Linked DNA regions of Coturnix japonica. The protein of the gene in region 5 interacts with the protein of the main gene of each other region in a pairwise test. Links are inferred from orthologs where the notes say so. Each region holds a gene or a part of one and is shown on either strand. Other genes may lie near its edges. The genes, in order: HOXC4, TACC1, KLF11, MTUS1, HTT, PDK2 and OSTF1.

The links.
Region 1: the proteins of HTT (region 5) and HOXC4 interact in binary tests that used the Homo sapiens proteins (3 or more experiments, as listed by UniProt). The link is inferred for Coturnix japonica from reciprocal best matches to the Homo sapiens genes HTT and HOXC4.
Region 2: the proteins of HTT (region 5) and TACC1 interact in binary tests that used the Homo sapiens proteins (3 or more experiments, as listed by UniProt). The link is inferred for Coturnix japonica from reciprocal best matches to the Homo sapiens genes HTT and TACC1.
Region 3: the proteins of HTT (region 5) and KLF11 interact in binary tests that used the Homo sapiens proteins (3 or more experiments, as listed by UniProt). The link is inferred for Coturnix japonica from reciprocal best matches to the Homo sapiens genes HTT and KLF11.
Region 4: the proteins of HTT (region 5) and MTUS1 interact in binary tests that used the Homo sapiens proteins (3 or more experiments, as listed by UniProt). The link is inferred for Coturnix japonica from reciprocal best matches to the Homo sapiens genes HTT and MTUS1.
Region 6: the proteins of HTT (region 5) and PDK2 interact in binary tests that used the Homo sapiens proteins (3 or more experiments, as listed by UniProt). The link is inferred for Coturnix japonica from reciprocal best matches to the Homo sapiens genes HTT and PDK2.
Region 7: the proteins of HTT (region 5) and OSTF1 interact in binary tests that used the Homo sapiens proteins (3 or more experiments, as listed by UniProt). The link is inferred for Coturnix japonica from reciprocal best matches to the Homo sapiens genes HTT and OSTF1.

What each region holds. Positions count from the first base shown.
Region 1 is NW_015439867.1:81,566-85,097, forward strand, and holds HOXC4 (homeobox protein Hox-C4), read right to left. Parts: upstream 2,081-3,532; 5' UTR 1,988-2,080; coding exon 1,432-1,987; intron 841-1,431; coding exon 518-840; 3' UTR 501-517; downstream 1-500. UniProt on the Homo sapiens protein: Sequence-specific transcription factor which is part of a developmental regulatory system that provides cells with specific positional identities on the anterior-posterior axis.
Region 2 is NC_029537.1:3,754,999-3,759,282, reverse strand, and holds the start of TACC1 (transforming acidic coiled-coil-containing protein 1), read right to left. Parts: upstream 2,801-4,284; 5' UTR 2,786-2,800; coding exon 2,574-2,785; intron 1-2,573. UniProt on the Homo sapiens protein: Involved in transcription regulation induced by nuclear receptors, including in T3 thyroid hormone and all-trans retinoic acid pathways. Might promote the nuclear localization of the receptors.
Region 3 is NC_029518.1:88,047,091-88,051,386, reverse strand, and holds the end of KLF11 (Krueppel-like factor 11), read right to left. Parts: coding exon 3,695-4,296; intron 2,029-3,694; coding exon 1,706-2,028; 3' UTR 501-1,705; downstream 1-500. UniProt on the Homo sapiens protein: Transcription factor. Activates the epsilon- and gamma-globin gene promoters and, to a much lower degree, the beta-globin gene and represses promoters containing SP1-like binding inhibiting cell growth.
Region 4 is NC_029519.1:56,734,800-56,738,299, reverse strand, and holds part of MTUS1 (microtubule-associated tumor suppressor 1), read right to left. Parts: intron 2,350-3,500; coding exon 2,245-2,349; intron 1,189-2,244; coding exon 1,141-1,188; intron 1-1,140. UniProt on the Homo sapiens protein: Cooperates with AGTR2 to inhibit ERK2 activation and cell proliferation. May be required for AGTR2 cell surface expression. Together with PTPN6, induces UBE2V2 expression upon angiotensin-II stimulation.
Region 5 is NC_029519.1:74,584,380-74,587,879, forward strand, and holds part of HTT (huntingtin), read right to left. Parts: intron 3,202-3,500; coding exon 3,025-3,201; intron 2,807-3,024; coding exon 2,730-2,806; intron 1,579-2,729; coding exon 1,440-1,578; intron 958-1,439; coding exon 835-957; intron 1-834.
Region 6 is NC_029542.1:2,597,587-2,601,871, reverse strand, and holds the start of PDK2 (pyruvate dehydrogenase kinase, isozyme 2), read left to right. Parts: upstream 1-1,485; 5' UTR 1,486-1,570; coding exon 1,571-1,592; intron 1,593-2,221; coding exon 2,222-2,363; intron 2,364-3,427; coding exon 3,428-3,499; intron 3,500-3,658; coding exon 3,659-3,843; intron 3,844-4,285. UniProt on the Homo sapiens protein: Kinase that plays a key role in the regulation of glucose and fatty acid metabolism and homeostasis via phosphorylation of the pyruvate dehydrogenase subunits PDHA1 and PDHA2.
Region 7 is NC_029547.1:33,132,675-33,136,672, reverse strand, and holds the start of OSTF1 (osteoclast-stimulating factor 1), read right to left. Parts: upstream 2,801-3,998; 5' UTR 2,638-2,800; coding exon 2,604-2,637; intron 2,309-2,603; exon of another isoform or gene 2,217-2,308; intron 2,212-2,216; coding exon of another isoform or gene 2,201-2,211; exon of another isoform or gene 2,120-2,200; intron 1-2,119. Other genes in the region: NMRK1 (nicotinamide riboside kinase 1), read left to right, coding at 2,201-2,211, 3,968-3,998.

The DNA.
Region 1 (3,532 bases), on a different chromosome or scaffold from region 5:
CTCTTTTATTATCCCTTTTTTTACCCCGATTTCTCAGCTATTTCTCTCCCTCCTTCCCCCTCTGTTTTCCTCTCTGTGTTACGGGTTTCCTTTCGTTTTACCTCGATTTTTACAGCGATTATTTGTTATTTTTTAACCTTATTTTTCCTCTTCCCCCCCCCCCCTAATTCCCAACCTTCGCTTTCCTACAAAAGGATTTCGCCTCTCATTGTGAGCCCGTAACGCAGAGGGGAAAACGCACCGACATCGGCCCTATTTTAATTCCTTTTACCGTCGCTATTACCCCCCCCCAAAATCCTTCAATTCAATTCATCTCAATGGAACCTCTTCCTTCCCTTTCACCCCCCCCACCTCCCAACCTTCCCCGGCTTGAAAAAATAAATAAAACCCTGAAAAAGGCCTTAAAAAAAGAAACCCGCAGGTACCGACACCTGGTTTCATGCTACCCGACATGCAGCTACAGCCCATGGGCTGAAAGAGGGGAGAAGGGGGGTGGGGGTTAAAGGGGGGGGGGGGTCTATAACCTGGTGATATCCTCCGGGTCCCGCGGTGGGGGCAGCTCTTCGGATGGAGCGGGGGCTGCGGGGGCTCCGGGGGCAGCGCTACCCGCTCTCACCTTCGTATTTGGAAGCCGATGGTCTTTTTTCCATTTCATCCTTCGGTTTTGAAACCAGATTTTGATCTGCCGTTCCGAAAGGCAAAGGGAATGGGCGATTTCGATGCGTCTCCTTCGGGTCAGGTACCTGTTATAGTGAAACTCCTTTTCCAGCTCTAAAACCTGCTGCCTCGTGTAGGCTGTCCGGGAACGCTTGGGTTCTCCTCCATTGTAATTGGGATTCACTGGAAAGGAGGGGAAAGGGGGGGGTAAAAAAAGGGGAAAATAGAGGGGGGAGGAGGAGAGAAGGGGGGGGGTGGTAAATAGAAACAAGCAAGGAAATAAAGAAGAAATTAGCGTGAATGGAAAGGGGGAATTGCGAAGAGAGGAGAGCGGAGGAGCCGGGAGAAGAAAGTAATGGGCTAAAAAAGGTAATAAAGAACTTTGGGCAGCTCGAGAGTTTCTATTCTAATAGGAAGGGGTTTCCCTGGCTCAAAAGACTGAATTATTTATGCACCCCTTACAAAGCTTTCGGAGTTTCACACATACATAACAGAACGAACCACATGGCTGAGGCTGCCCACAGTAGCTCGGCTATAAAATTTATGGTGGGTGTAATTACCCATTCGGAGTCGTAAATCCAGTTCAATTGTGCTAACCCAAAGCCTCTCATGGAAGGGAAGGATATAAAAAAAGAGAGAGAGAGAAGGAAGGAAGGGGGGGGGGGAGAGGATGGAGAGAGGGGGGGGAGAGAGGGAGGGAGAGATCACGGTGTGAAAATACGAGAGCTGAGAGAGAGAGAGGAAGACAGAAAGAGGAAAATAAAAGTTGCATACCAGTACTGACGTGGATTTTTTTCATCCAGGGATACACTATGGGTTGTTTGGATGCTGTGCTGTTAGGATGCTCGGGGTTTGGCTGGTTGCAGGCTGGAGGGGCTGGGGAAGGAGTAGTTGTGGTGGTGGTGGATAGAGCAGCCTGCTCGCAGAGCTGCTGTGCTTTCTCTGAGAGGTGTTGTTGGCCTCCTGTAGTTTGCCCGTGTCCCCTTTGGTGCGCGGCCGGGTTGCCCGGAGCTTGTTGGATACTACCGCAGCTGAACTGGCGGTCGGGGTAGGAGGAGGGTCGTGGTAGTGGGTACAGCTCCGGGTGGTGATGTTGATAGCTTGACTCCCTTGTCCGGTTATAATATTCCGGACTGTGATCTGGGATGTAATTATTTTGCGAATATTCCTCGCATGGAGGAAATTTCGGATCGATGTAGTTAGAGTCCACCATATACGAACTCATGGTCATTAATTTCTGGAGTGGAAAATAATTTTTCTCGCTTTGTCGTTTTTCTGCTCCATAAAGCCCTCCTACTAGCTGGCGACCCCGTAAAGTTACTTTCACCATGTGACTCCCCCGGCCAATCACACCCGGCAGCCCAGTCCCCGGATAAGGAACCAAAAGCTTTTGCAAAATGCACCTAAATTGGGGGGAGGGAGAATTGGGGGGGAAGGGGGGGGGGGGGGGAGGTTGGATAAGGGGACACTCGGGGAGAAGGGGCGACCTATTGAGGGGGGGAGATGCGGGGTGGCCCCGTTGGGGGTCCCCGTTGGGAGGGGGTGGGGTGTGGGAACAATGGAGGACCCCATTGAGGTGGGGGGTGGGGGCAGCGGAGTGTTCCCCCATAGAGGGGAGGGATGAACAACGGGACCCCCATTGGGGTGAGGGAGCTGCCTCCCCATCCCACCTCGCAGCCCCCCGACTTGTGTGTCATGCAGCCCCCACCCCCTTCACCCCCATCCCCCTCTCTCTGTCCATCACCTCCATTCCGAGGAGAGGACAGGGCACGATGGGGACATTGAGGGTGGGGGGGTTTATCCCCACCCCCACATCCCATCCACCTCCATTCAGCTGTATAACGGCTTAACCCCCACCAGCACCTATTCCTCTTTTTTTTTGGGGGGGGGGGCTGTGTACACGAATGATCTGGGATGGAGGAGCGGGAGTGTGGACCTCACCGGGTTTGGGGTCTCCGTTGTGATCCAGAGACCCTCAGGGACACGAGAAGCCCCCAACTCCCCCCAACCCCCAACCCCTATCTGGACCCCCATTACAAAACAGGAGACCCCATCGTGCTCCCCAGATTAGGAGCAGAGTGGGGTGTCGTGGGGGGGGGGCAATGCGGGGGGCACTGCTTTGCCCATAGAGAACACACGGGGCTCTATGCGTGTGTATGGGGGGGGAACAGCCCCACACCCACTCGTGTGCAACACACGCGTGTGAGCAGCCCGGAGCCGCTTTGCCCTCGTGATGGGAGCTCACCTGCTCGCCCTCCATAGGGGAGAAGCTCTTTGGGGTCTCTTTTAAATCGAGGGTGAAGGAGTCGGAAGATGAGGGAGGGGGTTTGGTTGGGAGATAGTGGGGGGGGGGGAGATAAAACCATAAGAGATGCTTTAAAAATGGCTCCCAGGCGTCAACCCCGGGCAGGTTAGGGAGCAACGAGAGGATGTGAACATTTGGGGAGGGTCGGAGCTCCCCCAATTAGAGCTGTTTATCTATGGTTCTCACTAAAGAGAGGGGCAGAGGAAGGAGGTGGGGTATTCCCTCCTCGCGCTTGATAACAATTATAGCTGAAAATCATCGCTCGCAGGGCATTGCCATATTTTACTTGATAACAATAAAAGTGACACATAAAGTTAACTGTTTATGTTTTATTTATTAGACTAAATGTGCCAGCGGTGTCGAAGGCTTTTGGCTGGTTGTTACAGCTTTTTATGGGGTTGTAAAACGCCATAAATCAGTCACCGCGAAATGGTCGGGGCTCTTTGTGCTCTTGGCTGAGAGTTGTGTTTGCGGTGGCTGCTGCTTCTGCTGGAGATGAAAAGTCATAATGGGATTTTATTCCGATTATTATCACCCCTCCCCCTCCCCCCATCACCCCCCTACCCCCCC
Region 2 (4,284 bases), on a different chromosome or scaffold from region 5:
ACCTCAACATCCTCCTGCCTGCTTTTGTGCCGAGCAGAAACAAGCAGCCACTTCCCCCCCATCTGAAGCAGCAGGGCTGATTTCTGCGGATGAATTTTACATAACGAGCCTCTTCAGCCTGTGAACGGCAGCACGCAGCACATTGCAGCAGAGCTGGCTGCAGCCTCAGCTCCTCCTCCTCCCTCTCCCCTTCCCATCAGTCACTTCACAGATCGCTGCTGACCCAAAAGACTCCACTGGAGTGACAGCACTGCTGCGCCATAGAGCGGCTCACAGCTGCAGGGATGCCACGGAGCAAACTGAAATGCAAAGGGCAGAGGAGCAGCAGTGGGAGCACGATGCCTCTGCCACAGGGATCTGCATCAGCCATGGCACAGATGCTGCTGCTGCAGCAGCACCCACTTGTTGTACGGGGGATGTGGGAGGAAATCAGCAACATCCAATGGAGGAAATCAGCAGCATCCTTCCATTGTGCACCAACACACAGAGCGGGCCCCACTCCCAGCAGCCTCAGAGGAAGGAGCAGGAGTGGGGTCAGTGAGATGAATGCTCATTGGGAGCAGCTAACGAGCAGAGCCTGCTTCCACCTGCTGTCTGCAATGAGCAATACTGAAATCGCCTCCAGTGGCATTTTCCAGCTTGGCGCACAACCCAGCCTGGCAGCAGCACTGGCTGCAAATCATTTGCTGAGGAGATAACCTGACTGCATCAGTCACACTATGGCTCGGGCACAGCCTGCAGATGCATCTCTGCAGGGGATGCTGACCTGCTCCAAACAGAGCTGCCAGCAGCTCCAAGCAGAATGAAGGGCAGACTGAGCACACAGCCTGTGTCACTGCTGTCACCCCACCTGGGCTCAGCACAGGCCATTACCTTGTGAAAATGCCAACTTTGGGAATGAGGAAAACTACCCAAAGCTTTGTATAGCCCAGCAAGGACTGTCCTGCAAACGCTAGGGAGGATGTTGTTTTGTAATATGTTCCCTGACCTGTGCAGTGATGCTGAAGAGATCAATGCTGATGACTCTCATCTGCAGCTCACCTACCTGGGCTGGGAGACCAGCCAAGGAGAACTCTGCCTAAGTCAGAAAGGGCCCTGGGAAAACGCAGAGGGAGGGAAAAAGAGCAACCAGGGTGCAGCAGCCCCAGGTTTCCATCCCTGTGACAGTTCCCATCGTTCCACATTCCACCAAAATAGCTGTGTAAAAATAGCAGTGAAGGACACAACTGTCACATATGAGCCTGACAGCACCAGCAGCCCCCCAGCTCCAGCTGTCCTTCCCCACCACGCAGCTGTCAGGCCAATGAGTGCAAGCATTTATGGCTGCTTTCAAAAGGAGCGATGCGAAAAGGAGCACGCTGCTTGTCCTGCGCTTTGCAAACAATGTGCAGGGCTTCATCTCACTGATCCCAGTCGTGTGGACATGAGCTCATGCAAAACAATTCAATAGAAACAGCCCTGAAATGTGTGAGTTTCACTTGTGATTTCTGACCGATGCTGTATGAACACGAGCACCTTCCTTCACCTCCTGGCTTTGTCCTATCCACCCTATCCACTCCTTTGCTAAAAATATCCCTGCTATGTGGCAAGAATGCTCTTATCAGGGGGTTGTCAGGCTGCTGGATTTTAGTTCAGACTTGGAGATATTGTGAAACACGGGCAGCATCTCCACATTGCTGTCCATGCACGGAGCACAGCTGCCCTGCAGCATCCCAGCGCTGCTCCAGTGCAGCCCTGGAACAATGCCTTGGGTTTTTCTGCCTGGGAACACCTCTAACTTAGTAGAACTATACAAGGAAATAACAGGCAGGGCTGCGGAGCAGCAGAGGACAGAACATTCCTGTTTTTCCCTGTTGCAGTTGTTTTCCCTCTGTTCACAGAGGAATGTTTGCAAACATTCAGAGGAGCAGCAGAGGGCACCTGCTCCATACAGCCCAGCACAGCTCCGGAGCAAAGCAAAGCAGGGCAGGTGCTCCCCGCTCACCTGCAGCACTGCGGACCCTCCAGGTCCCCCAGAGCCTTCCAGCTGAGCAGAACAGCAGCAAACCTCCCGAGAGCAGTTATTTCTGCACCACGGGGCGGCTCAGTGGGAGCAAACATTCCTGTGTTCCATTAAGTGTTCGGGCTGATTTTAAGATAAGCCTCCCCGGTTTGCCTTTTGATCACAATTCAGCGTGCTTTTCTTTTGTTCCCAGCTCCCAAACTCCGTCGGTAATTCACAGCACTCCCGGTTACAGCCCAGCTTCCAGCTCCAAACCCCACACCTTGTTTTCTTAACTGCACTCCTGGCTCCTCGCGTTGTGATTTATGCCATGCAATGCAGGGGTGAGCTGCAGCCCGAGAAACTCAGTGTGCTGACAACAAACGGGAAACAGCCTGTTTTGTCAGGAACACTGAAAGCAGGGAGACAAGAGGGAAGGGAAAGGAAAGCTTTTCACTCACTCACTCCATTCTCACTTTCCTCCTGCTCTGCAGTTTCCAAACCAAACTCTACCCCTTAGCACTGCAGTGGCATCCCCAGCACCGGGATCAGCCCCGGTCTGGTTCTCTCTCTCCCCCGGTCCCGCACTCACCGGCGCTCGGCGGAGCCGTCCCGCTGTTTCTGGCTTTGAGCCGCCCCCATAGCGGGACCGCAGCTCCGGGTCGTGTGGGGCAGCACCGGGCCGGGCCGGACCGAGCTACCGCTGCGCTGTGCCGGCCCCGACGGCGTCCCCGCCTCCGCGGGGGAGTGGACGGCACGGCTCTGCTCGGCACCGCACCGCAGGCGGACCCGGAGCGGCGGCATCCGACCCGGCGCCGATGGGAATCTGCCCCACGAGTTTGTACCGAGAGGGAACGGCTCCTGCCTGTCTGTCTGACTCCTTTTTCTTTCCGTGCAGCCACGAGCTGCTTTTCCGATCTACCCTCGGCACTCAAAGCCGCGCTCCAAGCTGACAACCCAGGGCAGCACTGCTGGACCCGCAGCCTCAGCACAGCACCGTCAGGTCGCACCCACAACCTGAGCATCCAACGCCCACGGAGCCCTGAGAAAAACTCACATATTCAACCTTTCCTTTTTTTCCCTTAGTGCTCTGGTTTGGGTTGTGCTATTTTTCAGCTAGAAAAGTGTTGACACCGTTGCAAGATTTCACCTTCCTAAAAAAAGAAAGCTATAAAGAAAACCTTCCTTGGATGAAAACAAAGTCTCCTGACCAGCCTGATGCTGGCGTGCTTGGGTTGCAGGAAGGCACCAGGGCCCCGTGGGCCCATCGTGATGCACAGCACATCTTGTCCCCGTAGCGGGTGATGTGCCCCACACTGTGTGCTCGGCTCTGTTGGTTGGCTGCTGACTGAGGGGCAGCAGATGGGAATAATCAGCTTTAGGCCAATCCCATGGAAATTTCCATGTTCCTGGGAAGGAGGCACTGCAAGCCCTCGCTGCCACCCCAGGGCAGAATTCCATTGGGGTTTCCGAGGACGGTGACTCAAAGCTGTGGCTGTCACATGGCTGTGTTTAAATACTTCAATGGAGCCTTCCATCCAAACAGCACTGCCCCAAACCCACCCAGAGCTGCAGCACTGGGCTGTAAGTTGCCTGACTGGTGGGTTACCACTTCAGCAGCCCTGATGCAGGGACTCTGTGCCCAAACCCTCCTCCTGCTGCCGTTTTCTCAGGTCTGAGAGCACAGAGAGCATCAGTGAGGCTCCCACAGCAGCAACTCATCACCCAGTTTGACGTGCAACACGAAGCCCGATGTGCCCACGCCGGCACGCAGCATCCCAGGGTGCTCACACAGCTCCTCCTTAGCAACGTAAACAGAGCCACAACACTGAGCGCATGCAGAGAACGTGGGAGCACCACGAGAGCGGGCAGCAGGGCGAGCTGCCACAAGGGGCTGCTGGGGACCATCATTCTGTGACCATCTCCGCACCAAGGCTGCCCGGGGACACCTCGTTCCCTGCTTCCTCCTCCCTCCATCCTTCTGCCAAGCACTCAGCCCTCAGCTCCCTTCTTTTTCCTACCTTTCCAGCACAGATCCGTCCCAGCACCGTCACTCTCTGCCACCTGTCCCCGGAGTTCCTCGGAAAGCTGCTGCCTGGAAAAGGAGCACAGAGGAAGGAAGGGGATGGACGGGGCGGGGAGGGCCAGGCGTCGTCGTTAGGGGACCTCGGCGCACCCTGAGCAAAAGGAAAAAGGATGTTTTGTAATATCTGGCGTGTCTTCCCGGAGCAGGGAGAGGAAAACAGCAGGACAGGCAGTGCTGGGTGAACCATCCATGGCACTGCCGGCACCGCAGCCCTCCT
Region 3 (4,296 bases), on a different chromosome or scaffold from region 5:
GCGGGCCAAAAACTTGTTACCATTAATTATAACTACAGAGCTAAGTGTAAAAAAAGAATGACAGATTCAGCTTTCAACTGCAAAAGGCCCCTGCTGATTTCAGGGGAGTGCTGAGATCAGCAAGTCTGTCTAAATGAGAACAGCACACTGCCCACACTGAGAAACAAGGCCTGTGTTTAGAACAAAGCCATGCAGGAGATCAGTGCATCCCTACAGACCTGTATTTTGCACATCCAGGTGAAAAATAACAAGTCCCTGTCCAGCACCCAAATAAGTTCAATATAGGAGAGGTTGAAGATATGAGTCCCGGAGGGTGAACACCATAGAAACACTTCATAACAAGTGAGATTTGGCCAGCAAAACAGCAGCTGGCACCTCACAGCACACACATACCCACCTGTACAAGGGCTGCTGAGCCAGCACACAGCACAGAGCTCTGCAGCCACCCATCTCACTCCTCAGTCACATTTACACGTGGTGTGAAAAGAAAATGCAGCCAAGAGGGAGAGCATCTCGTTTAATAGAAAAGGGTGATTTGATACAAAGTACTGTGAAGTGTAAGGCCACGTGAAGAGCATCATCGAGCTGACAAAGGTGGCTGTTTCTTAAGACATGACCAGTATTTGTCCTGGTGCTTTGATGCGGGTCATCAAAAGCCTGGAATAATTTTCTATGAGGTGCATCAGCATCCACAATGCGTAAACCTCATGTTCTATTTCTCCTGTATTTAAAACAAAATGCAAACACGGACCCAGCTAATTGCTCACACCTTATCCTGCCATTTTTGCTACCTTTCAGTAGACTTTAATACTCTGATTTTGTGGGGCTGAAAGTAAAGCGTCGTTTTTAGTGTCAAAGCTGCTGAACAGCATCTGTGCTTCTACATCCAGCAGAGCAGCCTGGCTCCCCAGTGCTTTGCTTGGGCAGAGTGGGGACCCAGGAACACGCAGTGTGTCAAGCTTTCCTAGTAGCCACAACAGCTTCCACTTGCAATAAGCATGAACTGATGCAGTGCTGAGGATTCCAACACTTCATTTCTGAAAGTCATTCTAGGGTGGTTTTGTTGGGTTGGTTTTGAGCTCGCTGTTATCTCAAACTATCCAACATCCAACGGCAGCTGCACAAGGAGGATCTAACAGCACCCATCTACTGCAGGACCAGAATCCAGAAGCGTGAAATCCCCAGCACCGCATTTCTGAGCATTACACGCTCACACAATGCACCGAATGCATTTGGTTGGGCTTACAGGAAAGCAGCTCCCAAAGCCCCGGGTTTCATCCTGCACAACTCTACTAACGCAGGGCAAGTCAGCCTGCATACAAAGATCCAAAGGAATAAATACAAAATATATTTGGTATAGAAAACACTAGTATCAAAAATTAAAAATCACCCTGTTGCACTGTCCATCCAAATATTAACAGCAAGCAATGCGCGTTGACTTGTTTAAACCTATTGACTTGTTTAAACCTATTGCCAAAATCATTTCAAAAGAGTCCTGCCTTCCTGAAGTGCTGGTGATTGCATCCGCCCAAACATCCAACACACAAACAAAAGGATGAGGACACAGCATCCATTTCTCCCCTAGCATTATTAACTACAATGAAGGGAACCCAAGTATGTACAAACAAACACGCTGAGGGGGTGAAGAGGGCCGTGCTGTCAGTCCTGTTGTAGCCAGCAGAGCTCTGTGCGACTCATAGTAAGTTTAGAGGAGGTGCTTTGTCCCGCTGCCCTGGCAGACGGATGGCACAGGGATGAGCATACTCAGAGCGCCGCTGCCTTTCGGTTTCTCGGTCGTGGCGATTCTGTTCAGTTTGCCCAGCTCCGTCTGCCAGCTGGGGACCTTCTTGGTGGCCATGTGGCGCCGCGTGTGCTTGGTCAGGTGGTCGCTGCGCATGAAGCGCCGCTCGCACACGGGACAGGCAAACTTCTTCTCTCCCGTGTGAGTTCTGCGGTGCCGCGACAGTTCGTCCGAGCGGGCAAACTTCTTGTCACAGCCTTCCCAGCTGCAGCTGAAGGGCTTTTCTCCTGTGGAATGTGAAAGGAAGAGAGCTCCCATTAAGCTGTGTCTTACCACAGAGCTGTGTCCTTTTGTTTAAAGAAAAGCAACTTCACCAAAACCTGATCCCTGAGACCATCCTTCCTACGTGGCCACAGCTCTATGAGCACTACACATCATGAGCAAATGCTGTGGGTAAAAAGAAAAGCTGGACTTCAAGCTCCCTGCAGCACTCCCTCCATCCCTTCCTGCTCAAGTGACCTGCACACCCATGCAACACATCAGACAGCCCACGTGCCCAGAGACCCAGACTCCTACAGGAGCTCTGGATGCCAAGGAAGGAGAGCAGCCAGGAAGGCTTTCAGCAGCAGTTTCTCGTGCTGGATGACTGCTTAACATCACACCCGTCCTAAACAATGTCATCTGCTGACTGCAGCCCCCATAGACCTCAAGAAAAACAAGATAAACATCTACTCTTTACCATCAATCTGGGAAACTCTTTGGAGTCAAACAAAAAGTCCAGCAGAAAAGATGCAGCACAGCAGCTGCGTTCTTACTGCAGATGGCAAGCGAGGCTCGGTGTGCACGATGCCCACATAGCTGCTCAGTGAGTGGGATGAAGCAGGAAAAGCAAGTTGCTGCTGCTCTGCACACTGATGCTGCACAGCAGGATGGCAAGTGATGGGACCGCGTGCTTCCCCAGCCACGGGTGCTCATCTTAACATCATAGCAGACACAACTTCCCTGGTGGGTCAGCAGCAGTACGTGCCAAGGGAGAGGTCTGCTGCCACAGACCAGAAGCAGAACCACCATTCTGCCTCTGAGCTCCAGTTTACAAGGATTATCAGCTTCATACAGAGCTTAAGCTCTGTTCTCATAGGAACTGTACAGACAAGCTGGCAAATTGGTGCACATCCTGCCATGGAACCACAGAGGGTGGCGGAAATAAGCAAAGGGAAAACAAATGAAGACATTTAGATGAGCTCTTCTTTATCAATCACCTGCTGTGCTCGTTCCTCAACATCAGAAACAGCCCCTGCCAAGAACTCAGCCTTTAGTTTTGATTTAACGGGATCTGAGAGTTGAAAAGAGAACAGATAGAGCACATTTACACTGCCTCTATGCTAACCAGATGTTATGGAACAAATCACAGTGATTATAACTAACTTACAGTTACCTAACGTAAAACTAGTTACATCCCTGCAGGAGCTCGACTTCCTAACACTGTGGCCCAAAATCTTAACACACACCTATTTAGCCTGGCCAAAACTCTAGGAATTCTAATCGTAGTGGTACTGGTCGTATTGGAATGTTCCTTTTCTTTCATTCACATGCAAACTAAGAACAACTACCTGCACTGTGGATAGCTCACACCAGAGCCCTCCACGCTCAAAATAAAGACTTGCACAATTCTCTGCAATCCAGTCCAGCTGGCAGAGTTCCACTCCAATCTAAACACATGCACACAGAGGGCAAAGCTTTGCTCCAACTAAAGCATGTGAAACTCAACCAACGCTACGGGGTCGGCTGAGGTCTCAGAACAAAGTCTGTTTTGTTTTGCTTGCCCGTGGAGAATGAGCATTCTGCTCCTCTCCCAGATGAGCACAAGATCCCTGACCACCTGCCCCTTTCCTTTCCCACCCGCTGCCACGCACCCTTGAGCACCCCAACGACAGCTCACCCCACGTTACACACCAGTGTGGGTACGAAGGTGGGCTTTGAGGTGGGAGCTCTTGAAATAGGTTTTCTTGCACCCGGGGAAGATGCAAACGTAATTCCTCCGTCTCGAAAAGTCCATCTGGGGGGCGCAGCTTTGACCAGAAGCGATGAACACGGGGGCAGGAGCGAGGGGCAGGAGCTTGGTGTTCCCAACAGTCATTACTGTTTGCGGGCACTGCGGCGTCGGTGCGACAGCAGTCTGTGGAAGAACCAACATGACGGTCCCCTGAGGCACAGAAGATCCCACGAGCACGGGCTGAGAAAGCGGAGCTGTCTGCGGTAAAATAGGTTTCATGGGAGCCGAGATGGTTGGAGCTGAAGGTTTGACATAGGCATTAATCACACCGCTCTGTCCGCTCAAAGGGATCATTTGACAGAGGACCTGGGGGCTCGACACAGGGACCGGTGTCACTGGGGTAGCTCTTGTTTGCAAGTCATCCTCGCAACTCTTTGGTAAGTGGGTCTGTGGAGAAACAGGTCGGGCTGGAAGCTGTGCCTTGCTGGGCACCACATCACTGCAGTCAGCCGCACACGGCTGGTGCACTGGGGAGGCCTTGTTAATTAAAGCATCGGCAGCA
Region 4 (3,500 bases), about 18 Mb from region 5:
GCAAATATCAGTAAGAGTAACAAACAGAATAAGCACTTTGTCTTGTTATATGAGCAAAGAGCTGACTTGTAATAATGAGAGATCTCAAGCAAAGCACTCGGTCACAATTGCTAGTCAGACACTTGACAAGCAAAACAGTAAAAGGCAAAACATTCAACTCACATGCATGCAATTAGTAAAAAACATACTACCACAGTACCCAAGTGACAGGTCAGAATAGTTTCACTCCACAGTTCCAGGCTCAAATTCATAACACCTAATTAGTTACAGCACGTCTTTGAGAAAGACATCTGCTACTCACTCACAGGGGACACAGGGCTTCCCTCCCAGTGAACCTCACTATCTTTCAAAAAAAGCTTTTCAGTAATTAAAAGCTTCTTTTAATTTAGCACGTACTCAATGATGCTCAGAAAACTAATTTTGACTGCATGTTCTCTTGAAAAAGACCTAGAAATTCCTGTGAATAGCAATCTGAAGGCCTCTCTCTCTCTTCCAGCAGGGAGAAACTAGCACCAGGTGCCCTGACTGGCATGACCACTGAAAACAAATACAAGATGAAGTCCATGAACTCCACCAGATTTTGGAACACCATCTGCCACTTAATCAGTTGCCACTCCTCCCTTGCCATCCAAGCAGACACATGCACTAACAAGTTTGGATAATTTCATCTTCAAGTGTAGTCTCCAGTGACAGAAACACAGACAGCTGACACTAATAGGGGAGCTACCACGAACCTTCCAGAAAAACCTGTTATTCTGCATGACTATTTATGTTAAAGCCACAACACATAAGCTGTAATCATTAATTACCTCAGCTAGGCTAAACAGCAAAATCTACATCTAAGTTTCATTACCACATTTTTTTCCCCCTCCTGTTGTTAGTGCTAAAACCTTCTTAGGCTTCACTGGAAAAAGAGAATGACAGACAGAACAGACTGCGTACTCTAAAAACCGGGTAACCAGAAGACATTAAGTAGACAAAACTTCACCTTCTATCAACTGAAATCAGAATCTGCGATGGTTTACAGAATTTACGTTGCAAAACTATTCTTCCAAGAAAAAATATAATATACTAATATAATGTGTAAATCAAATTTAAGTTCCACTTCAAAGTACGTAAAAATACTTCCAGAGAACTCACCAGAACCATAAACCGACAAACTCTGCTGTCTGTTTTTTCCAGGAGTACCTATGATGTACAGAATAGAAAGCAGAATTATGCTTCAAGTCAGTAAAGGAGAGAGTTGCACTTTTGTATCTCTTTGTACATAATTTCCTCATGATATAGGTAGTTTTAGTTTCATCTTTAGGATTGATTGCATGTTTAAAGGAAAGATTTGGTATGAAAAAGGTTAAATTATTTGGAAAATGAATTCCTATCAAACGTTTTTTCTATTTCAGTTACCATACTTCATTTAAGCTGGGTAGCACTGTTTATTTATTATCTTAAACAAAAGAACAAAATGGAATAAAAAACAGGCAACAAAAAGTAACTACACATATGAGCAGCATCATAGTTTTTTTCCAGCTATATACTCCAGTAACTTTATTTACATAAAGCAGGTACAAAAAGGTACCTAATCAAGTTACATATAAATGAAAATGGTGAGAGGGTTAATCTACAATTCCTGTATTGTTTTTGTGTTAGGTGAAAAGTGAATTAAGAGCTGCATTATTTTAAAGGATATCAATTTAAGGAAAACACTTTTTGCTAGGTTTAAGCACGAAAGTTACATGCAGAAGTTTATAGAAGGTCTGTTTACAACAACTATCACATTCAGCTGTCTTCTTCCCCATAGTAGGTATTATCAATAAGATTAGTACCACAACCGTACTTTTTTCCCTCGACCTGAATGCTGCAAGTACATATTTACTCCCAAATTGAAAATCTTTTATTACTTAATTTGTCTGAGGAGTCAAATTTATTCTTTGATTCAAACTAATTTTAAAAATGACTAATTTCAATTAAATACTAAAGATAAAGCAAGTATTTGACACTGAAATGCAAAGTTAAGTACATATTACTCTAGATGCAAGTTTGAAGCAGGCAGTGTACTTGAAGTACATTGTCTTTTACGTCCAGATAAATAAATATATACAGAATATCTTGTAGAGCCTATCTCTAATACTGTGAACTATGCATGAAAAGAATGGACTGACAGTCTCAACTGCTCAAGTTATTTAGCATAGCTCCTCTTTCTCAAGATGAACAGATACAAGAATATAATTGAAAATGTAACTTTACCCAATAACTGACTGCCTCTAGCCTCACTGACTTTCCTTGTTGAGTGCAATGGCCCAGATGATTTTGTCGTGCATTGGTTCAGAGAAGCACACCTGGCCTTGGCTCCTAGAAGAAGAGACTTACATCAGATTTAAAAGTACAGCCATGACAGCAATAAAGACATGCCTAACATCACATATTTACACTACCAGATGCACGAGACTACTCAAATAAATATAAAAAGAGGTATTTTCTATAAAATGGAATGCTACATTTAAACTCAACTTTGTTTTTAGCAGAACTCTCTACTGAAGCAATAAAATATAATTTTAATAAAGCTTATTAGGAGAAGTTTAAGAAAGGAAAGACTTCACCTTAGCACTAAGATAGTATTACTTAAGTCACTTAAGCAGTGGCAAACAAAACAGCTACAGGAAAGTTGGCTGAAAGTGACTTATGGACGCCTGCTCTGATGGTAGGCTGACATCACCAAGACGAATTTAGCTGGCCATGAGTCCTGGAAACTTCCAGGAATGGAGATCCTATGGCCCTGGACAATGTGGACCTGTACTACTTTTCCTCATAATTCTTCCCAAAACGTTGGGTCTCCCACTCCATAATTTGTTATTACTGCTACATTATCTGGTACTACTGAGTTTGGTGTCATCATCTTTGTTCAAGTAATTGTAGATTGTTACAATACCTCCCCCTACTCTTCCTTTCACCTAAATAAGCCTCATTCCCTCATCCTCTCATCACAACCCATGTGCTCCAACACTGTTCCCAAGTGTTCTGTTTCCGAATAACCTTCTTGAAAAGGGCAGACCCCAAAACAGATCAGTCAAGGTGGAGCTTCACAAACACCAAGGAGAGAGAGAACACCAACTTCTGGCCTTAACGCTCCTGGAGGTGCTGAAGGCACACTTCCAGCATCCAGATCACTGAAGTGATTGAACAATGAATAATTTCATTGCTTATCCTGGGCCTGACATAAAAAGCATTGGCTTGTCAGGTAGTCATATAATTTTTGTTTGTTTCAGTGATTTACAGTTTCTGGCAATATCTGCCTCTTATCACTGTTTACTATTTTAAAGCATGTCATTATAGCATGACATTTGGCAGGCTTAAAACTTAAGCCTAAAGCAGAAGCATTGTATTTAATTAGGTTTATCCAATTACAATAACCAGTTCACCACAAAGATGGTCAGAAGCAAGCTGATTATAACTAGGATTTACAGGACAGAGAGCACAAGCTTATTTATCTGCTCCCATTATGC
Region 5 (3,500 bases):
AACAGCAATTCAGCCCAAAATACTAAATTTAGCAGAAATATTAGTTAACGGTGGGTTGAAAAGTGCAAGCTCTATCAGTTATTTGGTATGCAGATTCAGACAAGTCACAGTCCAAACAAAAACGAACTACCAATACCATGACCCATTTCACAGACATCACAGGAATTTTTATTCTCTTTAAAGAAAAATTAGTAGAAATAAATAAGCTCGAAAATAAAACTATATGTCTTGATTTAGCTTAAATTAACATTTTGCTTCCTCCAAAAGTACCTCTAGTAAATTGAATCTTAAACTCTAAAAAGTCTGAAAGGTGTAGCTCAGCACTGACTCCACAGGATCTATATCTGAATTCTACTCATTTCTCCTCAAGATGAGAAAGTATAAAATATTTTTAAAATAGCTTCCTGCTATCATTTCTGCATGCCAACAGTAAACTTACTGTAGAGTATTTGAGCAAATTATGCTCTTAATAAACCCAGTTGTAGATTCATTGCAGATTCATCATCTGTGTCATGAGAGCTATGTGAGAAGTGACCTAGTATAGATGATCAAAAGCAGATACATGAACTTCCACTTCACTTCAACTCCATAAACACAATCTGTACGATTAGAAAACTATTAGCAACATCGCTAGACAGAGCCAAAGAACATTCAGTATTTTATTTTCCCAAACTTAATGAAATCCAAAAATCCAACAGGTGAAGTACTAGTATTACATAAATCTGAAATACTTGTATTTAAGAATCTAATCTATTAATACTACCCACTAGAATATCAGAAACAATTTAATACAACATCTTCAGCTGATGCTCTTCCATCAGACAGAAAAGTTACCTTGCTGCTCATGAACGAGTTCAGGTCAGGCGGAGGAATTCTGTTTAACAGTTCTGCACCTTCTAGTAGCGCTGAGTCAGACTTGATGCAACACTGAGACCTCACTAGTGACATATACCAGTCCTTTAATAATTGAAGAAAATAAATTCAGTACATATTTTCACAAAATTAAACAAAGACCTCAAAATCCTCTTGGCCATCAGTGCTCTGAGATAAATGTATCTAATTATATAAAAGACAGAATTTCAAAAAGAGACAACAAGCTATTTTCAATCAACAAATTAATAAAAATGATCACTGCTGGAAACACATCAAGAAAACAGATGACAGCATACGTCTGAACCTTCTTGTAAATCTTTTCCCTAATTTTATGGAGAGAAAAAAAAAAAGCTGATAGTTTTTCATGGCACCATATCTATAAGAAATATGCACGCACATTCTAATTATTAATCTTTAGCCTAACAGCTAATACATGAAATCATTCACTGATCACTATTTGAGATCCACTGACAATTATAAGAACATATTAGAAATAAGCTGTTATCAAATATTCTGTAATAGGAAGAATACTTTTTGAGCCAAGGCATTTCTAAATAGCATCTTACTTTATCTAGAATTACATTCTCTAAACCTGGTTGGTCTTCTCCATCTAGTGGGTGAGAGGTAACCAGAGGAGAAGGACTAGTTGTGTCCGGTGCCACCATAAGACGAAATCTATCCAAGAGTGAGTAAAGTCTTTGGTGTCTGAAAATAAAAACAAGTGTCAGCAAAGGGCTAACTTAGTTTCATAAAGCATTTAAAAAAAGAAACTCATCCAGTGAACTAATGTTCATAACTGGGACAGAATAGAACTAGGATCATAAAATTTTTGCTGGCTCATCCGCATGATATAAAACTGCAAAATTCATCAGCTACCAGTAGAACAAAAAAATTCAGTTCTGTAGTACCAATAATGAAGATTTGATTCAGACTTTAAGCTTGTACATGCTTATGCATAAAATGCAAGCTGCTCCATTTCTTTAAGTAGCACACCTTTTTAGTGAATAAGAATCAATTTTAACGTACAGACTTGACTGCAAATGACTACGTTCTAACAGATACCAAACAAGAATCCACTTTAACAAAATGGCATAGAAGTAAACAGATATTTAAGAATTTCTGTTTGTGGATTTAAAAGTCACTACAATCAATGTTTTCTATTTTGTATTTTTCTGATTCCAGTACTGCTATCAAAAGTGGTACTGTAAAAGTCATTTGGAGATTCTGACTACCATTATATTTTTAAATTAAATCTCTTAAGTGAAAGCACCTTGCTATCAATCTACTGCTCTTAGGCTTCATGTTCTTTACCTCGCTTCTATTTGCTATGTTAGTCAATAGATAGGAATTTCAGATAGCAATGACATCAGGAGAATTAAATTACTCTTCCCATCATTGAATAAGGCTTTTGAAAGGACTGAACACTTTGTTCTTTTTTATAATAGCAGTTTATACTTATAAACAACAGGGAGATTAAACCAGTGAATGAAAAAAACAGCAGCTGGAGCTGACAAAATCTGAGGAAAATAAAGTTGTTTTCACAGCAATTTAGTTTGTAATTTTTGCCAAAATTAATTTGAGGTAACTTTTAAAAGTTAAATATTTTAATGGGTTGGGGTAGAAAGAGTCTGACATCTCTGAGCCTTTAGCTTTCCTGAAGTTGTAAAATGCATTTAAGAATTAAACTCATCCAACACAACTGTTTTTGAGTTAAAACATGCAAGGACCTTATATGATGCTTTACTCATTTCACCTCTTAACAGGATTTGCTATCTTAGCTTAAAAAAAATTCAAAGCTATCATAATTGCTTCTACAAAATATCTTAACTTGATATTTTAACAGGTACCGGTATTACCTTGTTGCTAATCCACTGTTTTGAAGATACTCCTGAATTCTATCCAGTTCTTCAACTGGTAACTGAGTAATGCTGTTCTATAGGAGTCACAAGAAAACAAGTAAAATACACATATGTACTTAGAACAGATTATGAGATTCATATGCAGATAAAGTGAAATGCAGTCACTCATATATCTATATATAATATAAAGCCTTATTTTTCCACAGAAATAACTTTAATTTAAACACTTACATTTGACTGTTATTGCTAGCACTACCCAAACTGATTTGCAGATAAATGTATTTATCTTTACCTGTAAAGTTGCAGCCAAAAGCATTTCTACCCGACGGCAAGCCAGTGTGTCAACCATGCGAGCAAGCACACGGAATGGAGTACAAAGAAGCTTATCAACATACAATGTCAAGACCGCTCCAGACTGGCTGAGATGTATCCCCTCTAAGCACTGTAAAGTCTTCTTCAGAGTTGTAGGCTAAATGTTGAAAGACACAAATAGGGAACATTATGTATCTAACACTGATGGCAGTAGGGTTAAATAGGAGTTTTAAAAGCAGACTGTGTACATTAGGTGTTTTAATTTTACTAATTTGACTGATATTTCACCAGTATTTCACAGAACTACAGCTTTCATTCAAATATGCACACTTAGTTTTACCTATTCTCAGACAAGCATGCTATAGCTCAGATTTATCTCAGCTTAAAAACATTTTATTCAGATGCTTAGGGCACTAAAGCAGTTGCAGTGGACTTGTCCATAAACAATAAGAGAGA
Region 6 (4,285 bases), on a different chromosome or scaffold from region 5:
CCTCCGGCCCCGCTCTCACCCATTATCCCCCCCCCAACCCTCCATCCACCACCACCGCTTTATATTGACGTTCTTTCCTCTTGCCCCCCCCCCCGCAGTGTGACTTCTTCCAGCGGACCCGCTATTACCGGGTGATGCCCAAATACCACGCGTTCGGATCCGGCAGGAGCAGCGTTATCGCCCCCCGGCCCCAGCGCAAGAAACACTGGGTGGACGAGCTGGCAGCAGCCAGGACAAGTATTACTGACACCCCCCCCCCAACCCTGCACCGCCCCCTCCAGCCCCCACCCCGATATGGGGCTGTGGGGTGACTTTGCACAAGCACAGCAGCAGCATCGTTGCTCCATCCCTGTGCTCCTTGCACACCCCTTGTGCCTCTTGCACGCTTGGAATGGGGAGGGGTCCTCATGTGTTGCCCCCCCCCCGTTGTGTCCTCCTGAGTGCCTTCCTCCTGCTCCTGTGCTGCCGCTCCCCCCCCCCTTCTATGGTGGTCCACCGCCACTGTTGCACATGGGGACACACTCATTGCCACCCCCCCCCCCCCTCGATGCGCCCCCCAACCTTTGTCTGTGCTCTGGGTTTGGGGTGCCCCCCCCCCAGCTTTACTCGTGCCTTCCTCCTGCCCTCCTCATCCTGCACCTTCAGCCCTTGCTGGGGGGGGGTAGGTGCACATAGGTGCACAATGGAAGCTTGCCCCCCCCCCCCCTTCGCTCCTCAGCAGCTGCAGCCACTATGGGGGGGGCTTGGGGGCTTCACCCCCCCCCCTCCCCCATCCCTCACAGCTCTGGGGGTTAAATTATTCCATGTCTCTGTGCGTTCTCGTGTCAAGCCCCAGAGTGGGGTCGGTACTGGGGTTTGAGGGGGGGGGGAGGTGTCTATGAGCCCCCCGCCCCCCCTTCGGCCATGCTCACGCCTCTGCTGGGCTAATAAAGCCTCGCTCTGGGATTTCTAACCTCTCATCTGCCCCGTTGGTTTTGCTATATGGATGGAATAGGGGGAGTAGGGGGTAAAAAAGGAGGGGTGGGAAGGGCAAGGGGTGCCCAAAGGGGGGGGGGGGGGGGGTGATGGTACCGGGGGGGTGATCCCTGAAGGGAGAAGGATGCTGCAGTTGGCATGTGATAACAAGAGAGAGCGCCCCGTGGAGTGGAGGGGAATCATGCGGTGTGTGCGCGGACCGGGCGGCTTATACAGTCGGGAAAAAGGCGATGGGAGTCGCCAGGCCGAAGGGGTTAATGAGCGCTGGGCTTCCGGGCACGAAGGGGTTAATAAAAAGGGGCGGGGTTAAACGTCGGGGGGCGTGTCTAATATAGGGGCGGGTCCGACGGCAGAACGGACGCTGATGGTCCGGAAGGGCGGTGACTGATCAGGGCCGTTGTTATGCGGCCCGACGGGGACGCCGTGGGCTTTGAGGGGAGCAAGCGGGCGATCGGGGCGACGAGGGGTCGCGGGGGGGGGCTGGGGCGGCCATGAAGGGGACTGCTGAGGTGCCTGGGGAAGCTCGGGCGGCCCGTGGGGACCGGGTGCCACACGATACATCGAGCACTTCAGTAGTTCTCGCCATCGCGCTTTCATGAAGCAGTTCCTGGATTTCGGTCGAGTGAAGACCCCCAAGCTCTGCCCACGACCCCCCCCCCAGTAAGAGTCGCCGATGTCATATGTCCGTTATGTATGTCCGGTCCGTCTGTCCTGTCCCCTCTGCCCTGTAAACAGCTGCTCCGGGGTGGGGTGGACCGCATTTAAACGGCCCCCCCCCCCACTCGGAAAATGGACACGCCCCCCCCCCCAACCAGTAGGGGGGGTCCCATGTTGGACCCCCCCTCGCAGTGGCTGTCCATATATATACCCGTATTGCTATGGCTGCAGGCAGGGGGTCCAACCCTCTTCTATGCCATATGCCCCTCCCAGGTCCCTTCCCTGGGTCTAATTTGTCCCCCCCCCAGTCCCCGTTCTTGGGGTCTATGATCGCCCCCCCCCCCAGGTCCCCATTCCTTGGGGTCTATGTCGCCCCCCCATGGGTTGAACCCCACTCTGATGGCACCCATCGTTCCCATCCCCTATAATCAGGGGCACACTGGTTATACTGGGCTGTACTGGGCTGTGCTGGTCCCCTCCTACCCCCCCCCCCATCCCCAAGCCCTCAGTGCTCCCTGTACTATAAGGGACAGTGGGGGGGGTTCAGCCTGTTTCATGGCTGGCTCTGACCCCCATATCCCCCCCCCAGGCTCCAGCAATGCCTGTGAGAAGACCTCCTTTGCCTTCCTGCGGCAGGAGCTGCCCGTTCGCCTCTCCAACATCATGAAGGAGATCAACCTGCTGCCCGACCGAGTGCTGCACACCCCGTCCGTGCAGCTGGTGCAGAGCTGGTGAGTATGGGGACATCACCCCCCTGTCCCCTATAGGGGTCCGGTCTCATTGCTACCACCTATGTGCCCCCATAGGTCCCGCTAATGTCCCTTATAGGGGTCCAATCCCATTGCCACCACCTACTGTGTGCCCCCATGGGTCACAGTGCTGTCCCCTATAGGGGTCCGGTCCCATTGCTACCACCTATGTGCCCCCATGGGTCACAGTGCTGTCCCCTATAGGGGTCCGATCCCATTGCTACCACCTGTGTGCCCCCATAGGTCCCACTGCTGTCCCCTATAGGGGTCTGATCCTATTACCACCACCTGCTGTGTGCTCCCATAGGTCACAGTGCTGTCCCCTATAGGGATCCGGTCCCATTGCTACCACCTATGTGCTCCCATGGGTCACAGTGCTGCCCCCTATAGGGATCCAGTCCCATTGCTACCACCTACTGTGTGCCCCCATAGGTCACAGTGCTGTCCCCTATAGGGGTCCGACCATTGTCACTTACTAAACGCCCCTATGGGTCCCACCCCTGTCACCAGGTGCCCCCATGGATCCCATTGCTGTCCCTGATGGGGTCCAATCCTATTGCCACCACCTGCCTGGTGCCCCCCTGGGCCTACATTGATCCCACTGTGACTTCTGTCACTGCTGCCCCCCCCCCAGCAGGTCCATGGGGTGCTGGTGGGGGGGGTTGACCCAGGGACAGGACATAGGAATCCCATAGAGCAGCACCCATCTCTTACCCTGGGCTGACAATGGCTGCATGGGGACGTGCAGGGGGGTCCTCAACCAAAGGGTGCTGCCCCATTGTCCTGTCCCTGCTGTCCCCTATGGCTGGGGGGGCTGTGTGGTTGGGGGGGGGGGTGTTCCTTTAAGGTCGGTGCTGGCATCCTGGCCCCACTCCCAGCTGCCATGTGACGAGTTGTTTGTGTCCTCAGGTCTGTGCCAGCACTGCCAGTGTAATGGGGGGGGGCATGGGGGGACAGCAGGGCCTGGCAGTGCCCTTCTATCAATGCTTATGTATGGGGGGGTGGGCACATTGCTGGGGCTGTGGGGTGACCATCTCCTCCCCCAGGTACGTGCAGAGCCTGCTGGACATCATGGAGTTCCTGGATAAGGACCCTGAGGACCAGGCCACATTGGGGCAGTGAGTGTGGGGTGCCAGCGTTGTGACCCCCCCCAAACCCCCATAGCATCACCACAACCCCACTCTGGATTCTCTCCTATAGGATAACCCAGCCCAGATCCCAACCCAGCCACCCACACTGGCTGCCCTATGCTTCATATCACCCCCCCCCCCCTCCAGGTTCACCAACGCTTTGGTCACCATCCGTAACCGTCACAACGACGTGGTGCCCACCATGGCACAGGGTGTCATTGAGTACAAAGATGCTTATGGGGACGACCCGGTGTCCAACCAGAACATCCAATACTTCCTCGACCGCTTCTACCTGAGCCGTATCTCCATCCGCATGCTCATCAACCAGCACAGTGAGCATCCCTGTGTGCCCCCCCCCCTATATTGTGTGTCCCCCCCCCGGTGTCACCCCCACCAGCACTGGGCATCCCCCGTGTATCCCTATAATCCCCCAATGGTCCTGAGCATCCCATTCCCACCCTTGCTGTCCCCATTGGTTCTGGATGGCCCAGTCCTGCTCTGGGTAGCATCTCTTGTTTCCCCCAATGCCCCCCCCCCCCACAAGCCATTATGACCTGAGTGCCCCCACCTGGACACCCCCTATTTCCTGACCCCATAATCCCCCTACCCCAATGGTCCCTATTACTCCCAAGCATCCTGCTGCACCCCCCCCTTCCCCCAACCCCCATGTGCCCCCCCCCAGGTGTCCATACCCCCTTAGATGTCCACCCCCCCCAACCCCTATGTGTCCCCTACCCATGCCCCATCCCTATATCTTACCCCATATCCATCCCC
Region 7 (3,998 bases), on a different chromosome or scaffold from region 5:
GAGAATTTTTCTCTTAACTTAGAAAACTGCAAAGGCAACAGACGTACTTTAAGGTAGCGTCCCTTTATGCTACATACTCTATTTCCTCCTTCCTCACTTCCTCTCAACTGGGATCATTTAAAACTGTAATTTCTTTCAAAGACTGGTCCTTCTCTCTAAAACTTGGCTGTTTTGTGGACCTTAGCCCGAGATCAACAAACCTTACTTTATCTGGAGAACATTAAAGTAACAAAGTTTTTTTTTTTTTTTGTTTTCTTAAAAAAGAGAATTTCCAGATTCCTAAGAGCTCTTACTGCACACTTTATAAGGCCTTAGCCAAAAATGCATAACCACCATTATTCAAGGAGACAACTAACAGGAGTCAATGCAGCTTGTCAGGTTCAAAAGACTTGAGTAACTTTTGTAATTAGAATTAACATAAGACACAGAATGTTTAGGAGGTTAATGAACTCTAAAAAGAACGATGTTGTTTGAGATATCAATAGAGCTTTTGAAGGATGGAGGGGAAATCCTACTCTTGCATTATGCTGATTTAGAAGAAAGCTTCAATTATTTTCAGTTCTCACTTCACTCTTCCATATCACCAATGGCAAGTTTGAATAGGGAAAGAAGAAAAAGCTTTCAAACCAGTACAAAAAGCTCTTGCAGAAAAGCAAATTGAGAAGCTTGTTTCAAAGGAAAGTCTTGGAACACTAGAAATTAAAAATTTCCCAAAGCCATGAAAAACACTCACAGCCTTCTTACTCAAGGGCTAACTACAGGCCCCAGAATACAGGCTTGAGAGCTGACAAACATTATTAGATGATTTTCTAGAATCTATTGATATCTAAGCCTTCTCCTTCATAGATGAAGCACAATGCACTGCCCACGCAGCCAGATTATTACAATGAAAGAGCCTTCTATCAAATAAAAATCCTGCATGTACTGAAGAAAACCCCATTCACTGCTATACTTAACATTTTTCCCTTAGCACATCCTGTTTTGCACATTTTCAAGGCACTGTCTGGGCATTCATATGTAACTGTAATCTTCACCAGTAGAGTGAGGAATGCGCTCGTTGTTTCAGAAATGAATATAACACTAAACACAGTTCCCTGCCATCAACTCTATCTCCTTCCATCTCCATGTAGTTTGTACGTTTTCTTCCCGAACATTTCTTAAAGGACTACAGCAGCCAAAGTCTTATTTTTCCTTCTACCTGCTTGAATTGCGGCATGGCAAGCAGATTGCTGCTTTGTGAAAAAGCCAGGACGGTTTACAGACTGAATACCAGACAACAGTCAGTGTAGAAAAAATAACATAACTTCAGCAAATGAACCAAGAAGACGTTTCCCCACGTGAAGCATATAAGTTAGTAACAAATAGAGCATTGTGCTACTCTAGTTTCAGCACACACAGACTCCACGTTTATGTCTTTAACTCAGTACGCTTTAATGTCTACAACCCGAATGAAATTCAGTGTTAAAAGCATAACTGGTTTTATAAGGGCAGACGGACAAAATATTTTGGAGGAAGTCTGAAGGCTGCCTCTTCCTGAAAATGACTTGGGAAAAAAAATATTCCACAATAGCATCTGTAAAGACATTCCTTCTTCAAAAAAGGGACTCCACAAAATGACTTTCGTGACCCCTATGAGCAACTACTAAGAAAGTCTTATCCTCTTCCTCTTTCTTCTTCAGCCATTTATTTCCACCCATTTCCTTTTGCTGTGTCAAGTGATCATGTGGTAAACCAGATCAGCAAGTTCATTAAAACATGAAAATAACCTGAACATGAGCAGAACCCTGCAGTGCCAGAGCACCAGCAGACTGCCGTGCCACCTCACTGAAGGACAAAGTGACAGGGAGGGCACAGCGAGCCTGTCTGTCTGGCAGCAACCTGCATCTTACCACAGCCTGCCCAGGCTGGGGATGCCCAACATTAGGCATAGAACATCTAGCCTGCCTGATAACTCCGCAAGGCTGAACAGTATAAATCCTTGAAATTTGCAAGATTCTTACCCTAAACCTAACCAATCATTTTGCAAATCGGAGGACTGGAAAAAAAAGCTTCTTCCCGCATATCTGGCTGCTAAAAGCAGCACCACACCCTTCTCATCTCCCGGAAGCCCACACAGCACTTCATTCACCTTCCCAGAGGGCAACTGCAGCGTCGGGGCTCCTATCGTTGCCTTTTTCCTATTTCAGGTCAACTCTGAAAGATGCTCAGTGGGTGAGATACCAGAGGAAACTGTTACTTGGAAGAAGTTCTGAGGCTTTAACAGATCAGCAGAAGGTGGATGATGACGCACTGAGTGCTCCTAAACCCGGTCAGCAGTGTTTTTACAAGACCCTGCGATTCGCTATGAGTTTTGAGAAACGAAGATCCTTGCGGTGTGCCCGAGGACAGACCCGCAGCCCGCGCCGCAGCGCTCGGGCGGCGCCGACGTTAATGGCGGCGGGGCGGGGAGAGGCGGGGGCCGCCGGTTCTGACAGCCCGAGCCCCGCTCTCCCGCTGTCCACGTGTCAGCCAGCAAAGGCCGCCCGCGCCCACGGTGGCCCCGCGCTGACAGGGAGAAGAGGGGAAGGTGGAGGGGGGGACTAGTCTTGGGGACCCTCCCTTACCTGGCTTGGCGGGCTTGGGCGGTGGCTTGGACATGGCTGCGGCGGGACCAGACGAGCTGCGCAAGTGCCTCGGGGCGGTGGGGCAGAGCGGGGCGAGCCGCTCCGGGCTGCTGGGCACGGTGCGCGGCGACAGCTGCGGGTAGGAAGGGAGGGGGCGGACGGGCGGCCGCCGGTACCCTGCGCAGCGCCCCACAGCGGCAGCGGCAATCGCTGCAGCAGCCCGAAACACCCTACAGCCAATCCTCGCCTCTCTCTCCTTTCCTCGGTGGGAAGATCACGGGGAAGGGAGGGCGGCCAATCGGACCGCGCTGTGTCGGAGGGGGCGGAGCTGGCACCGCAGGGCGGGTGACGGCTGGGCAGCCGGAGCACGGCTAGTGGCGGTAGGGGGTGGGCTTTGTTTGGGTGTGTGGGTCCCGCGGGTCCGCTCCTCCCGTGTGGGAGCTCCTGGGGCGGGTGGCTCGTTTGGATGCTGTCGTCGCACGTTTAATGCTCAGCCCGAGGCAGCTCTGTGAGGGAACTGTCGTGGAACTTCACTCGGCCCTTTAAAGAGGCCGAGTTAACTTTGGAGTTGTGTGCTGCAACGCTGGAGGCCAGTTTGCCCTCGCAGTTTGGGTTCTACGTTGTGTTCTGAGGGAGGCAGAGTTGGTGGGTTGGTTGGGATAAAGTTTTGTATAGCCAGTGACGTAAGTTGAGTCCAAAGCTCAGTGTGTGCGCCCAGATGTTATTTGGGTTGTGCTGCAGAGTTTTTGTGGGACAAAGGCTAATCCCCCAGAACACAAACCTCAGTGACAGCTTGGTTGGAAAACAGCAGTGGGGTTTTTGCAGATCATGTTTCATCATATCCTGAGAGCAGGTAGTCTGTTTTCTGGCTCCACACAGACAGCCAATGCCATAAACATACAGTGAATGGTGGAATTTGGGAGTTACTGGATTTTTGAAACATTTTTCTTCCCTCAGCACAACACTGGTATTTGTTTTTTATTTTAATTGGCTTTTTGTTTGTTTGTCTTTCCACCTCAGCACCTGTTTACCCAGACATTTGGATACTGTTAATGATTGAGCTGGGGTTGTGTTTTTTATCCGGGTACTTCTGTGCTTATCAGCAGTGGTAGAATTGAATCTCTCAAGGTCTGTCTCAAGTCATCAAATACTGACCTAGGTAAAACGCATAGAAATCTGTAATGCGGCATCTGTGTTGGAGGGTTTTGTTAGCATTTGAACAAGCAGTTGTGGTTCTGACAGTAGGCTTATGGGGGAAAAAAAGACAGAAAACAAGTATATAATACTACATAAGGCTGGAATGTCTTAATAAGTGCTGTTATTTTTTCTGATTTGAGAGTTTTCTCTGACTCTGTTTTTGACAGTGTAAAGGAAGAACTGAAGAGAAAACAAGCA